2 linked regions of the Caenorhabditis elegans genome follow. The protein of the gene in region 2 purifies or fractionates together with the protein of the main gene of each other region. This does not show direct contact. Each region holds a gene or a part of one and is shown on either strand. Other genes may lie near its edges.

The links. Proteins that work in one complex are often made in the same cells at the same time.
Region 1: the proteins of C49F5.6 (region 2) and fbxa-75 fractionate together in Caenorhabditis elegans (co-fractionation; one large-scale study listed by BioGRID). This does not show direct contact.

The regions. Positions count from the first base shown.
Region 1 is NC_003281.10:1,300,616-1,306,718, reverse strand, and holds fbxa-75 (DUF38 domain-containing protein), read right to left. Parts: upstream 3,006-6,103; coding exon 2,917-3,005; intron 2,873-2,916; coding exon 2,245-2,872; intron 1,507-2,244; coding exon 1,258-1,506; downstream 1-1,257. Other genes in the region: fbxa-79 (F-box domain-containing protein), read left to right, coding at 721-915.
Region 2 is NC_003284.9:11,985,695-11,993,076, reverse strand, and holds C49F5.6 (Dentin sialophosphoprotein-like), read right to left. Parts: upstream 4,764-7,382; 5' UTR 4,702-4,763; coding exon 4,438-4,701; intron 4,357-4,437; coding exon 4,135-4,356; intron 4,084-4,134; coding exon 3,988-4,083; intron 3,934-3,987; coding exon 2,557-3,933; intron 2,507-2,556; coding exon 2,156-2,506; intron 2,110-2,155; coding exon 2,065-2,109; 3' UTR 1,785-2,064; downstream 1-1,784. Other genes in the region: C49F5.5 (histone acetyltransferase), read right to left, coding at 5,848-5,960, 6,223-6,349, 6,782-6,889.

The sequences.
Region 1 (6,103 bases), on a different chromosome or scaffold from region 2:
ATGTCAAAAAACCTGTGTTTCTGTATTTTCACGAGTTTATCATTAAAACTGTAGACACACGGGTAATATTTCAAAAATTAGGCCGCGTCACTGCTATAGGACCTCCTGAGATTTTCGAAAATTTTCACTGAAAATCTCGGACTTTTTGACCATTTTCAAAAAAATAAGATTGAGAACTGTTTTAAATCTGGTTATTAGCTCAATTTTGTTCTGTTTTCCACTTTTGTAACGATCGGAATCTTCATTTTAACTATTTTCTCACATTTTTAGACGTTGAAGCTCAACGAGAAGCTCACAAGTAACTTATGAGCTTGAGCTTATATTATTTCATGAAGCACATATTCAAGCATATTCCTGCTTGATACATCTTTTAGAAAGTACTCAAAAAATGAAGCCCACATTTTACACTACAGGTACCATAAACGTTGCTTGCTCCAAAACTTTGCGGAAAAACCTACAGTTGACGGAATTCATATTCTCAATTCACAGTGCATTTCCAAGATTTTTTGCACTGAATTTTTGAAATATTTGCCGTGTGTCTACAGTTTTAATGATAAACTCGTGAAAATACAGGAACACAGGTTTTTTGGCATGCTGAATCCGGATATCACAAAAATTTTTCATGGAAATTTTTCAGTTTCCCAATATCGGAAAAATGAGGGGGGTCCTATAGCATTGACGCGCACTGTACAATGTTCAACTGAAAAAAAATTCTTGCAGATCCTTCTAAAAAACGAACATTTTACCGGCTGCGATATAAAATGTTGGACACTACCTGTGATGACGGAAATATTTCAGACTATAACTGAACTTCCATCCGATGACACCATCAAGTCTAAATTCGAATATTCTAGTGGAAATTCTAAATTCTCGTTTGAAGTACAGTATGGTTATATAAACATATCCAGAGTTTAGTCTAGTTGAATTCAATTCAATAAAAACATTTTCTCCGTTTGAACCAACTTTATTTGTGCTCTATTTTCATTATGAACTCTAATTTCAAGCCTGTTGAAGTTGCAAGAGCATTTTAATCGGATTGGTGGCGATGATTTTGAACTTTATTATTCAAATGGGAAATCAAAATTTGGAATGCATTGTAAAAACTATTTGGATATGGTCGAAAAATGGAAGTTTGAAATTAAAAAAAAACGGTTTTCAATAAATCATAATATGTGAAGAATCCTTTTTTATATATAATGTAACAGTATACATTGATATTTAAAAACATTTTACGAAGTGAAAATGCAAAAAAATTGATCATGGTATTCCTTCTTTTCTGATTACAACTCTCCACCAGTCTTTAGTTTGTGGTTTGTCGCTTGTAGGTCGAATGACATAAAGTTCCGAAATAATTCTAAAATTGGAGATGTCGTTGGAGTAGTTAACTTGAAAACTGTCGCCACCAATATAGTCTGCTTGAAACACTTTAGCAAGTTTACGTGGAGAAAAGTCGGATGAATTGCAATGAATGTCACACCATTCGAAAATCTCGCGTTTGAACAGAATCTGAGAAAAATTGAATTGTTCAACTAGAACAAAAGAGTAAAGGTGGAGTAGCGCCAGTGGGGAAATTGCTTTAAAACATGCCTATAATACCACAATGACCAAATATCATAGTAAAAAAATTTAAAAAAATTTTCTAAATTTTATATGATTTTTGAAAATTGAAAAAATATCGAATTGCATCAAATTCCTATTTGAATTACCGCCAATAGTTCGATGTTCGATGGAGCGCGCTTGCATATACTTTTATTTATCAATTTTTCTTATTTTTGATTGATTTTTCATGTTTATTTTGAGTAATTTTACTGAAAATTTAATGAAAAATTCAAGATAAATGTACATTTTTTACTAAAAATAATTGAAAACAGAGATAGTACGTTTCTCAACGACGTTGAGCCTGAAATAATCTATTTCAAAGATTTAGGCTTTAGCGCCCGCTTTTTAATAAAAAAATTACATTTATCTTGAATTTTTCATTAAATTTCCAGTAAAATTACTCAAAAAACATGAAAAATCAATCAAAATAAGAAAAATTAATAAATAAAAGTTAAAATAATGCAAGCGTGGCGGTAAAAAATAGGAATTTGATGCAATTCGAGATTTTTACAATTTTCAAAAAATCATATAAAATTGAGAAATTTTTAAAAAAATTTTTAACTATAATATTTGGTCATTGTGGTAAGCGTGTTTTAAAGCAATTTCCCTACTGGCGCTACTCCACCTTTAAAAAAACACGCTCACATCTCTAATTTCCATTGCCATTTCGTCTGTGATGGTGTTAATGTGAATTATAAACCCGGTAAAATGAAAAAAATGCAAAAGACTACCATTCAATTCGACGTCCCATTCTGAGAAAAAGTTTTTTGCCATTCTCCACGGCTCGAGTTTGTAAATTTGCTCCATGCCTCCATCGGACTTGCAACCGCGAAAGATGATTTGTTCAAACACTCCTTTTTTGAAATAGGATAGAATTGTGGCAATCTCCTTGTGGTAAAAGTCCTTAAACTCGATTGTCCCCGAACTAATATTCATCTCTTCTGCTCCGGCATTTTCCGAGTCTTCGTACAGGCTTGCGCCCAATTTGTTCGATTTTTCAAGTGAGGAAAAATACAATTCTGTCGCATTATTTTTGGCTATCATTTTTATATCATTGAGAGCTGTTTGTAAGTAGTTTCCCTCGAATGTTTTGGTTGACCGCACTCTACAAACACCTGTGTATTCATCGTAGATGTTGACGTACTCCGCTTCACAATTGTTGAACATTGTCTTTATTAGACGAGCATCTATTTCCAGATTAAGTTTTAACTTCAACGGTGGAAGGCCAAAAACGATAGCTCTCAAATATTTGGACAACTTTTGAACCACCAATCTGAAATATTCTCATTACAATTAGTTGTTAATTAGTTTAAATACCTATCAACAATATCAATTCTGCTTACAGCGTCGCTAATGAAGCTTTTAGGCAAATCGTAAAATGTGGCAATCTTAGACTCTTGCTCCATTATCAGCAAAAATACATTTCAACCAGCAAGAGGAAAATAAAATTTAAAAAATAATGAATGAAACCCCAACAGAGTTTTTATAGGTTGAATTTAGAGCTGAGGAATTGTACAAGTGATAAGAAACAGTAAAATTGAACGATGTAAACAAGTATTAATTTTATATGACGTTTATGGTACAATTGCTCATTCTTAAGCTCCTCAAAATATGTTGTATTTTAATAGGAAAATATTTGGCAAAAATGGAGGAAAATTGGATTTGTCTCATCGTATGGGCTGTGAAGAAATACATAAGGGTAAACAGCGTCTCATTACAAAATTCGGCAGTTTTGGGCTATTGAAAAAGCAAATGTACTCCACTTGAAGAGGTTGATCAGAAATGTATTTATTGAAGAATAATAAACATATTCATCTCAACATCTCCTTATGAACAATTCATCGGAAACATCCCAAATATCACTTAAATCTCTGAATTGAATAGCATTATGTATTGCAAAATAAAATGCGTTAACATGAAACTCAGTGAAGTGAAAGAGGTATTCAAAGGGCGGACACAACTTCACAGACTCTCTGGCTTCACCAATTATTTTACTCTCTGGCTTCACTAATTATTTTACTCTCTGGCTTCACTAATTATTTTACTCTCTGGCTTCACCAATTATTTTACTCTCTGGCTTCACTAATTATTTTACTCTCTGGCTTCACTAATTATTTTACTCTCTGGCTTCACTAATTATTTTACTCTCTGGCCTCACCAATTATTTTACTCTCTGGCTTCACCAATTATTTTACTCTCTGGCTTCACCAATTATTTTACTCTCTGGCTTCACCAATTATTTTACTCTCTGGCTTCACTAATTATTTTACTCTCTGGCTTCACCAATTATTTTACTCTCTGGCTTCACCAATTATTTTACTCTCTGGCTTCACCAATTATTTTACTCTCTGGCTTCACCAATTATTTTACTCTCTGGCTTCACCAAATAAATTACTCTCTGGCTTCACCAATTATTTTACTCTCTGGCTTCACCAATTATTTTACTCTCTGGCTTCACCAATTATTTTACTCTCTGGCTTCACCAAATAAATTACTCTCTGACTTCACCAATTATTTTACTCTCTGGCTTCACCAATTATTTTACTCTCTGGCTTCACCAATTATTTTACTCTCTGGCTTCACCAATTATTTTACTCTCTGGCTTCACCAATTATTTTACTCTCTGGCTTCACCAAATAAATTACTCTCTGGCTTCACCAATTATTTTACTCTCTGGCTTCACCAAATATTTTACTCTCTGGCTTCACCAAATAAATTACTCTCTGGCTTCACCAATTATTTTACTCTCTGGCTTCACCAATTATTTTACTCTCTGGCTTCACCAAATAAATTACTCTCTGGCTTCACCAATTATTTTACTCTCTGGCTTCACCAAATAAATTACTCTCTGGCTTCACCAAATAAATTACTCTCTGGCTTCACCAAATAAATTACTCTCTGGCTTCACCAAATAAATTACTCTCTGGCTTCACCAAATAAATTACTCTCTGGCTTCACCAATTATTTTACTCTCTGGCTTCACCAATTATTTTACTCTCTGGCTTCACCAAATAAATTACTCTCTGGCTTCACCAATTATTTTACTCTCTGCTTCACCAACTATTTTACTCTCTGGCTTCACCAATTATTTTACTCTCTGGCTTCACCAATTATTTTACTCTCTGGCTTCACCAAATAAATTACTCTCTGGCTTCACCAATTATTTTACTCTCTGGCTTCACCAATTATTTTACTCTCTGGCTTCACCAATTATTTTACTCTCTGGCTTCACCAATTATTTTACTCTCTGGCTTCACCAATTATTTTACTCTCTGGCTTCACCAAATAAATTACTCTCTGGCTTCACCAATTATTTTACTCTCTGGCTTCACCAATTATTTTACTCTCTGGCTTCACCAATTATTTTACTCTCTGGCTTCACCAAATAAATTACTCTCTTGCTTCACCAAATAAATTACTCTCTGGCTTCACCAATTATTTTACTCTCTGGCTTCACCAATTATTTTACTCTCTGGCTTCACCAAATAAATTACTCTCTGGCTTCACCAAATAAATTACTCTCTGGCTTCACCAATTATTTTACTCTCTGGCTTCACCAAATAAATTACTCTCTGACTTCACCAATTATTTTACTCTCTGGCTTCACCAATTATTTTACTCTCTGGCTTCACCAATTATTTTACTCTCTGGCTTCACCAATTATTTTACTCTCTGGCTTCACCAAATAAATTACTCTCTGGCTTCACCAATTATTTTACTCTCTGGCTTCACCAAATAAATTACTCAATTATTTTACTCTCTGGCTTCACCAATTATTTTACTCTCTGGCTTCACCAATTATTTTACTCTCTGGCTTCACTAATTATTTTACTCTCTGGCTTCACCAATTATTTTACTCTCTGGCTTCACTAATTATTTTACTCTCTGGCTTCACCAATTATTTTACTCTCTGGCTTCACTAATTATTTTACTCTCTGGCCTCACCAATTATTTTACTCTCTGCTTCACCAATTATTTTACTCTCTGGCTTCACCAATTATTTTACTCTCTGGCTTCACCAATTATTTTACTCTCTGGCTTCACTAATTATTTTACTCTCTGGCTTCACCAATTATTTTACTCTCTGGCTTCACTAATTATTTTACTCTCTGGCTTCACTAATTATTTTACTCTCTGGCCTCACCAATTATTTTACTCTCTGGCTTCACCAATTATTTTACTCTCTGGCTTCACCAATTATTTTACTCTCTGGCTTCACCAATTATTTTACTCTCTGGCTTCACCAATTATTTTACACTCTGGCTTCACCAATTATTTTACTCTCTGGCTTCACCAATTATTTTACTCTCTGGCTTCACCAATTATTTTACTCTCTGGCTTCACTAATTATTTTACTCTCTGGCCTCACCAATTATTTTACTCTCTGGCTTCACCAATTATTTTACTCTCTGGCTTCACCAAATAAATTACTCTCTGGCTTCACCAATTATTTTACTCTCTGGCTTCACCAAATATTTTACTCTCTGGCTTCACCAAATAAATT
Region 2 (7,382 bases):
ACTAACTCCGTTTCCATTAATTTTCAATGTTCTCCTCCCATTTTTCTGTTTCATAAATACACTCGCCGCAGCAACGCTGTCCCACTTATCATCCAATGAAATGCAGGGGCAATGTTTCACCGCGCCACTAAGGAAACCACCTGACCCGTTTTATGTTATATACCCACTAAATATCTTGTGTATCTTGTGTAATATATATTTATTAAACGTAGTTGTTAGCAAAAAGTTGCTTGAGAGATTATTGCTTGTTTTAAAAATTAAATCACAAAATTTCTGAAGTTGGAAACGTCAATTTAAAAACTCGACTAAGAATTGCTTTTCATCACCAATTAGTCAAACGAAATGTTTCTAAAATAATCCATATATTTCTCTATCTAACTTGTTTGAAAACAAATACGAAGGAGCTACGCTTTGTCATAAAATTTGAAAAATGAAGTGATTTTGTACTTAGAATCACTCAACTTCTTTCGGTGCAAAAATAACAGAATAATATTTATATTTCTCTTTTTTTTTGCCTATTTTTCAATGTTCCTATCTTTGTTCCGTTTTGCTACAGTTTCTTGTTTGTTGTCTCACCCTCTTCTAAATATTATGCGTTTGTTGACAGCAGCTCAAAAAACTGAAATATAAATTTGCTTTTTTTCTCTATGTCTCTCGTTGCCCTTCGATGGGGGTTTATATGTCTTCAAAATAGCTTCATCGTTTTCTCGTTTTCTGCGCCAACAATATACTTTCTGACCTTTCCTGTTTTCTCGAGAATATTCTTTTTGGCATCCACGTTTTGCATCTACTAGAGAACAGTCTTCCGTTGTTTTTTATTTTATTTTTTTCCAATACTCTTTTACAATTAAATTTATTTTACAGAAAACTTGGGTTCCGCTCGGCAGGACTCTATGGCTAGGGTCGCCGAGTTCAATTAAACTTGATTTTTTTCAAAATGTCAAGCTTGATTTGATTTGCACAATGGATTTTCCAATCGAAAAATAAATTCATTTGGCACTTCGTATTCCAATAATCTTTCAAGTGAGCAACTGGCTAAGTTCAGATCAAATTAAATTGCATTTTCAGAAGAATTGCAAAAAATAAATCACGGAGAAGCCTCTTTTTGAAACTTTTCGGCAAATGCAGTCAACGAATCATAACAGGAACCGCGCTTTCAAATAATATGTCAAATACCAAAGTCGATTCTGTACAGGATCACACTGTTTGTAACAACAACTGCTTTGAACAGCATATTTGTGAAGAGTAAAGAGTTTTATTTGCAAGTAAGTTTTCTGTAGACGAAATCAAACTTGATAGATTAACAAACTTTATTATGTCTGATAATTGAATTAACAACATGCCAATATGTCAATATACCAATATATACATTTTCAGGATCTAAACCGTTTATAATATGGAATGACGGAATTTGTAAAGAAATACGAACACTCACAAGTAAGATTGAAAGATTGACAATCGGAAACTGCGTACATTACTTCATGTCATAGTAATGTCGGACTAAATTTTTTTTATTAATAAAATTGTTTTTAAATAGGTTTTAACTTGTTGACGGAACTATTGTATTGACTAAATCAGTAAATAATTATTTGGATGGTTGAATTTGTTTTTAAAATATGTATTAAATTTCCTCGATTATGCGTTTCGACTATGGCATCAAAATTGGGTTCCTTTCGGCAAGATCATGCCTGTTACTTGCCGATGGTATTGAACGGCCTGTTACAAGGATTTCGGCAGCTCCATATAGATCACCAACCATGGGATACGTCTAGAGAACTTTTAATCGAAACCTGCACTCAATTTATTCTTCGCATAGAATTCAAATTATACAAAACGGATATGATAAAACAATCTTATAACCAATTAGAATTAAAAGTAATTACGATAATACTTATTGGGAATATTAGGAGACAATAAACAAAAACTTTGACTAATGCCAAAGCAAATGTATTTGATTACAACTATGGAAAAAAACTTTAATAGAAAGGGAATATGGGTCAAAAAGCGAAATAAATAGTCAGATTCAAAACATTTTCAAACTGTATCGATTCTTGTTTGTTTGTTCTAGATGTTTTGGGCAGTGGTAGATGTAGATGGTTGAGCAGAAATCTGAAATGATTTGTTGTAAATTGAAATGTGTTCAGTGTACATTAACCTCCATCAAATTGGCTCCGTGCTTGTCGTTTGCAGACTGAGCAATCATGGAATGATGACCCGAGAACTGAACAATATTCTGTCCCAACCATTTCCCGCGAATTTGCTGCGAATTTTTAGAGCGGCTTGATGGATAGAAGTTGGACAGTTTGGTGCGTACACGCATTTTTGCAATCTTCCATGAACCACGTGGAGCACCAGCACAATGTTCTTCTTTTCGTGGCGAGAATAATGCAGTCTTTGAAGACGATCCAAACTCTGGCAACACCTTCTTTGGAGTTCCAGTACCCATCATTTGAATCAGTTTGCCCATTGATGGTCCGTATTGATACTCGCTCTTCCCAAACACCTTCTGAAAAAATCACAATTGTCAATTAAACAACATATCAAAATACTACTCACCTTTGGAGTGAAAAAGCTGATGTCCGAGTTGATCTTTCCAATTGGAGCATTGAAATTTGCTTTGAGAACGGTTTTTGTCGGCTTGTTAGTGACAGCTGTCTTTGATGGAGACTTTGAATACTGCAACACATTCTCAACTGGCAACAGTGGCTTGCCCAGTTTTGGTTCAGCAAGTGCAGCTTCTGGCCCAACTTCTGTCAACAAAGCACGATTGTCATTCATTGGAGTAGTTGCAGCTTCCTTATTCAAACATTCCATTGTGGCAGGAAGGTTTTCCGGAGCTTGCTCATTTGATTGGAAACCACTAGTAACAGCAGTAGTTTGAACATTTTTGTTCGAAGTTGGAGATTTATTCTCCATCCACGATTCACGAAGTCTTTGTCGCTTAGCTCTGAACTCATCGAACTTCCGTCCAGTTTCGGCAGTTACAAGAAACTTGTATCCACCTCCATCCGAGACCGGGTCATTTCCAGTAGCTTTCAACTCCATTGGTGCAGTGTTCTCACTGCTGATTCCCATCGCAGAACTGTTATTGAGCTGGTCAATTGGTAAGATGTGTTCTTTGTTGGGAGAAGAGGCTTTGTTATCCACCATGTTTTTACCGAGAACGCGCTTCTTTTTGTTGGTCGCATCTTCATCAGTGATGAGTTTTGCAGGAGTAGACGGTCCTCGAGATGAAGGAGTAGAACTATCTTCCAAATGACGCTTTCGCAAACCACGAGATACTTCTGCTTTTTCTCCAATATCAGAAATATTCAATTCCTTTGGCATAATGATATTTTCAGTCGATGTTGGAATAATGGCTTTAGCCGGGCCAGAATCAATTCTCCCATCGTCAGTAATCTCACCATCCAACACACCAACTTGTTTGCTTGGCGAACCATCATAACTGATCTTACTTATTGGGGAACTCTTCAAATGTGCGACAAGTCCTCGTTTCTTTGATCTGAACGAAGGGACAATCAGATCAATTTTCTTCAGAGTACTCCACTTCAGATCCTCTTTGGCTGGGCTGGCAGAAACATCATATTGGTACACCTCTTGGCTCTTGGCTGGCAGTTCCACTGGCTCAGTCAACTTCTTCTGGAGTCCATCTGCATCCTCAAATTGTGAAAGAGATGGCACATCGCCCATCTTATTGACAGCCAAGTTTGTAGAGCAGTTGATACTGTTTTCAGAGATTTCTGAATCCTTTCCTTCTTTATCCATCAACATGTCTGACATGACCTTTGTAGTAGAAGAAATTATTTTCGATCTTTGAATAGTTGACGTAGTTTCACGAGATCTCATTATTGGTGAACTAGAAGTGACAGTTGACTGAAACTCGATTGTAGATGTAGATGTGAGCTTGAGTGGGCTAGAGGGAAGAGGAGCAATCTGAAAATATGTATTTTATATACCAAAGTAAAACGTTATAGCTGTGGAACCAACCTCCTTCTTCAACCTTTCAACACCATCAATCGATGTGACACCAGAGTTCGGATTCTTGAATTTCTTCAATTCAGAAACGCAGATGTTGACAAATTTCTGCAAAAAGTACAGTATAAATGCTATAAATAGTTAAAGTTAAATGCGAACCGAAATTTTTCCAACTTTTTTCTTTGGAGTCTTCATATCGGCATTACGATGATTCGTCTCTTGAGAATCCCAGTAGTTGTCTTGATAATTGTCTTTTCCAAGAACCAGTGGCTTTGTAGAAGCACAATCCGTAACGTCTACACCTGCATCTCCGTTTTCATCGATTGAATTGGCAACGACACAAACGGAATTCGGATATTCACCAGAAAGAATATTCGGTACCTGAAAAACGAATTAAAAATAACACTAGACTAAAAACAGACTGCAAGAGTCGTGCACTACAAATATTGTGCTTGAACTTACCGATTTTGAACGCTTCATTGGCGATGTGGGAGCCAAAGCCATTCTTGAAGAAAAGTTCATGTTTGGGGACATTGACAAAGTTAAAGATGGACAAGCTCCAAGACTTGGGAAAGGAATGTCCACAGTTCCCACCGACTCTGACTTGCGGAACTTCACCACTCCCGAGCAATAGCAAAATCCCACACAAAGACGGGAGCCGCAGGTTTTCATCGACAAGGTTCGAACATCAAAAGACGACTCATCAGGCTTAGAAACAGTAGTCATCACAGCATAGATATTGATACAAATCTTGTGATCCGATAAAGACGTGGTTGCAATAATTTACCCTTCAAAAATAGTTAATTTTGAAACGTTTCATATACATAAAATTCACAAGAAATCGTAGGGTTAATCAAGGTTAAATAAATCAAAGTATTGAAATTGAATTGGAAAGCGAAACTAAAATGCCAACTCAAACACAAGAAAACAAAATGTCTATGCTAATGTAGTGTTTAGCAAAAAGACCGCGCCTTTTTCTTCCCGCCATGCAATACAGTGCAACACAATTGACGTAAACATGCGGACCTTGTTATTCCTCCCCGCTTTCTTTTCCGCCCTCCCAAATTCACATGCTCTCTCGGCGGATGGTGTAAAGATGGAGGGAGAAAAGGAGGGAGGTCCCGTTGGTGAGTTTGTTTGTTTGTTTGCCATCAGGGATGTACGGCTGTCGGCTGGCGCAGCCAGCCGACAGCCGAAAAATTGGATTTTTCGGCTGGTAGCGCCAGCCGACAGCCGACTGATAATCTAATGTTGGCTGGCGCAGCCAGCCGACCTTTGAGTTAGAGTTTTCGGCTGGCGGTTTAAAAAAAAATTAACTGATTTTTGATATATTTGAACACTAGTTGCAAGTTTTATATATGAAAAAAGTAAGCCGATGTGGTTATTTTTGTTGGATAAAGTGATTAAAAAGTTTGCTATACCTTGTTTTTGTACTAAAAGTATGCTTAATTGCTCCGAAACACTTCAAGAAAGCAACGTGCAAAAATACAGTTTAGCGACAAAACTTAACCATAAAGCTCAGTCGGCTGGCAGCGCCAGTCGACAGCCGAAACATTGCTAGGTGTCGGCTGTTGGCGACAGCCGACAGCCGACAAAATCAGCCAGTCGCACATCTCTGTTTGCCATGTTGTTTACAAACTCCTGTACGCTTGAAAAGGAAACTATTAGAGTTGACCGTCTGGTTTTCTGAATCTGAAAATAATAAACAAGAAATCCATCAAAATCGACCGGTAAACGAAACAGCAGTATCTGTGAACATTTTATCAATCGCTAAATGCATAAAAAACAAAACAGAACAATAAGTAACAATTAGAAGATCATGGTGGGAGACAAATCAAAATTGAAGTTTGGCATATGTCATTACTTTTACCTTTAGCTACCACCAAATGTTTGAAGTCTTCTTAGTGGAGCACAAATTGCACAAGCACGATTTTGGCACTCACGCCAGTGTTTGATGAGTTGCTTCGAGGTGTTACAGTAATCAACTGAAATTTAAGTAAGGTTAAAAGGGTAGGGTATATTATTGAAATCTTATAAAAATAGGTAATAGAATCTTAATAGCTTTTGTGGTTTTTTTGTCATTCACGACGTGTCGTATGTGGGAAACAATGTATGTTTTTACATTTTGTTGGAGTTTTTTAATCGAACTGGAAACTGAACCTCCTCTGTTTTGGGGTCGCTTTAGTGTCTAATGATGCTTCATTGAAAAAAAGTTGTCCCTTTTGAAAATTAAATAAATGAACATACTGAGACAATGCGATCCGTTCGTGCACATGTTCAAATGAGAAAGCGTGTATTTGAAGAGTCCGCAACTGGGAAGATCGCAGCGTGGATGACGAGCAGGTTGACCATTGATCGCGGCTTGGTAATTCTCCTGAAAATCTTATTAGTCAGTCGACGCAAAATATTAACCATTGTTGATGAAAATTCACCACAAAAATTGACTACTCTTAAAACATAACCTTACAGTTTTTATATTTTTTTCACTTCACGTGTGAGCCAAGATTAATTTCCAGACCTTCCGTTGCTACGGTCACTCAATGAAATATCTGACTGGGTATGAACATTGCTTTCCGAAGTTATGAAATGTTATTAGAAAACGAAAAACGTTCAGATGGAGATGGAGCCTATACTTGATTTTTTTGTGAACCGTCACTAATAGTATGCATAGAAAATTCATAATAGGGTCCGCCACTGTTGCAATTTTTTGTTTCGCGTTTCAATCTAGCTATCTTCTAACTTTGGCATATTTCCAGAAATGATAGACAACCATTTAATTATGATATAAACAGATTCAAAACATTACCCTGTCTCTTTTGGTGCACACATTTGCATGAAGCAACAAAATCAGCTGTTCTTTGATAACCTTCAAGATGTGTGGATCAATTCTTGAAGGATCGGAAAGCGAAATCATTCTGAAAACTGACTAGTTAAAGGATAGAAAAAATGTATGTTTAAAAGTAGTTTCGAAAAAAAAACACATCATGTTTATTGAAAATTGTTTTGAAAACTCGGGGAAAAAATCGAAGCCACGATTCTCTACTTTACCGTTATTAACATCAATAGTTTCATGAAAGCATTGAGTTCATGAAATAGAAAAAAAATAAGAACCTACTGGATTGCGCCCAAAAGTGCGAAGAAAATTTGAAAAGTGATGACGACGACCACCTCTCTTTTCTTTGTCGCGCCATCAAATATCGGCGGCCCTTTATCTGCTCCCATCATTCCCCAATGATATCATTTTATCTTTGGTAGTGACATCGTCAACGGTGAGCAAACACTATCGCCGTTGCCGACAAAAGAAATAGGGATGTGTTAAAATACGTGTCGAATTCCTATTTTCGGATACTTGAATATATAAATTAATTGGATGGATGTTTTCCAAATAAAGAATTACTTTTAGAAGT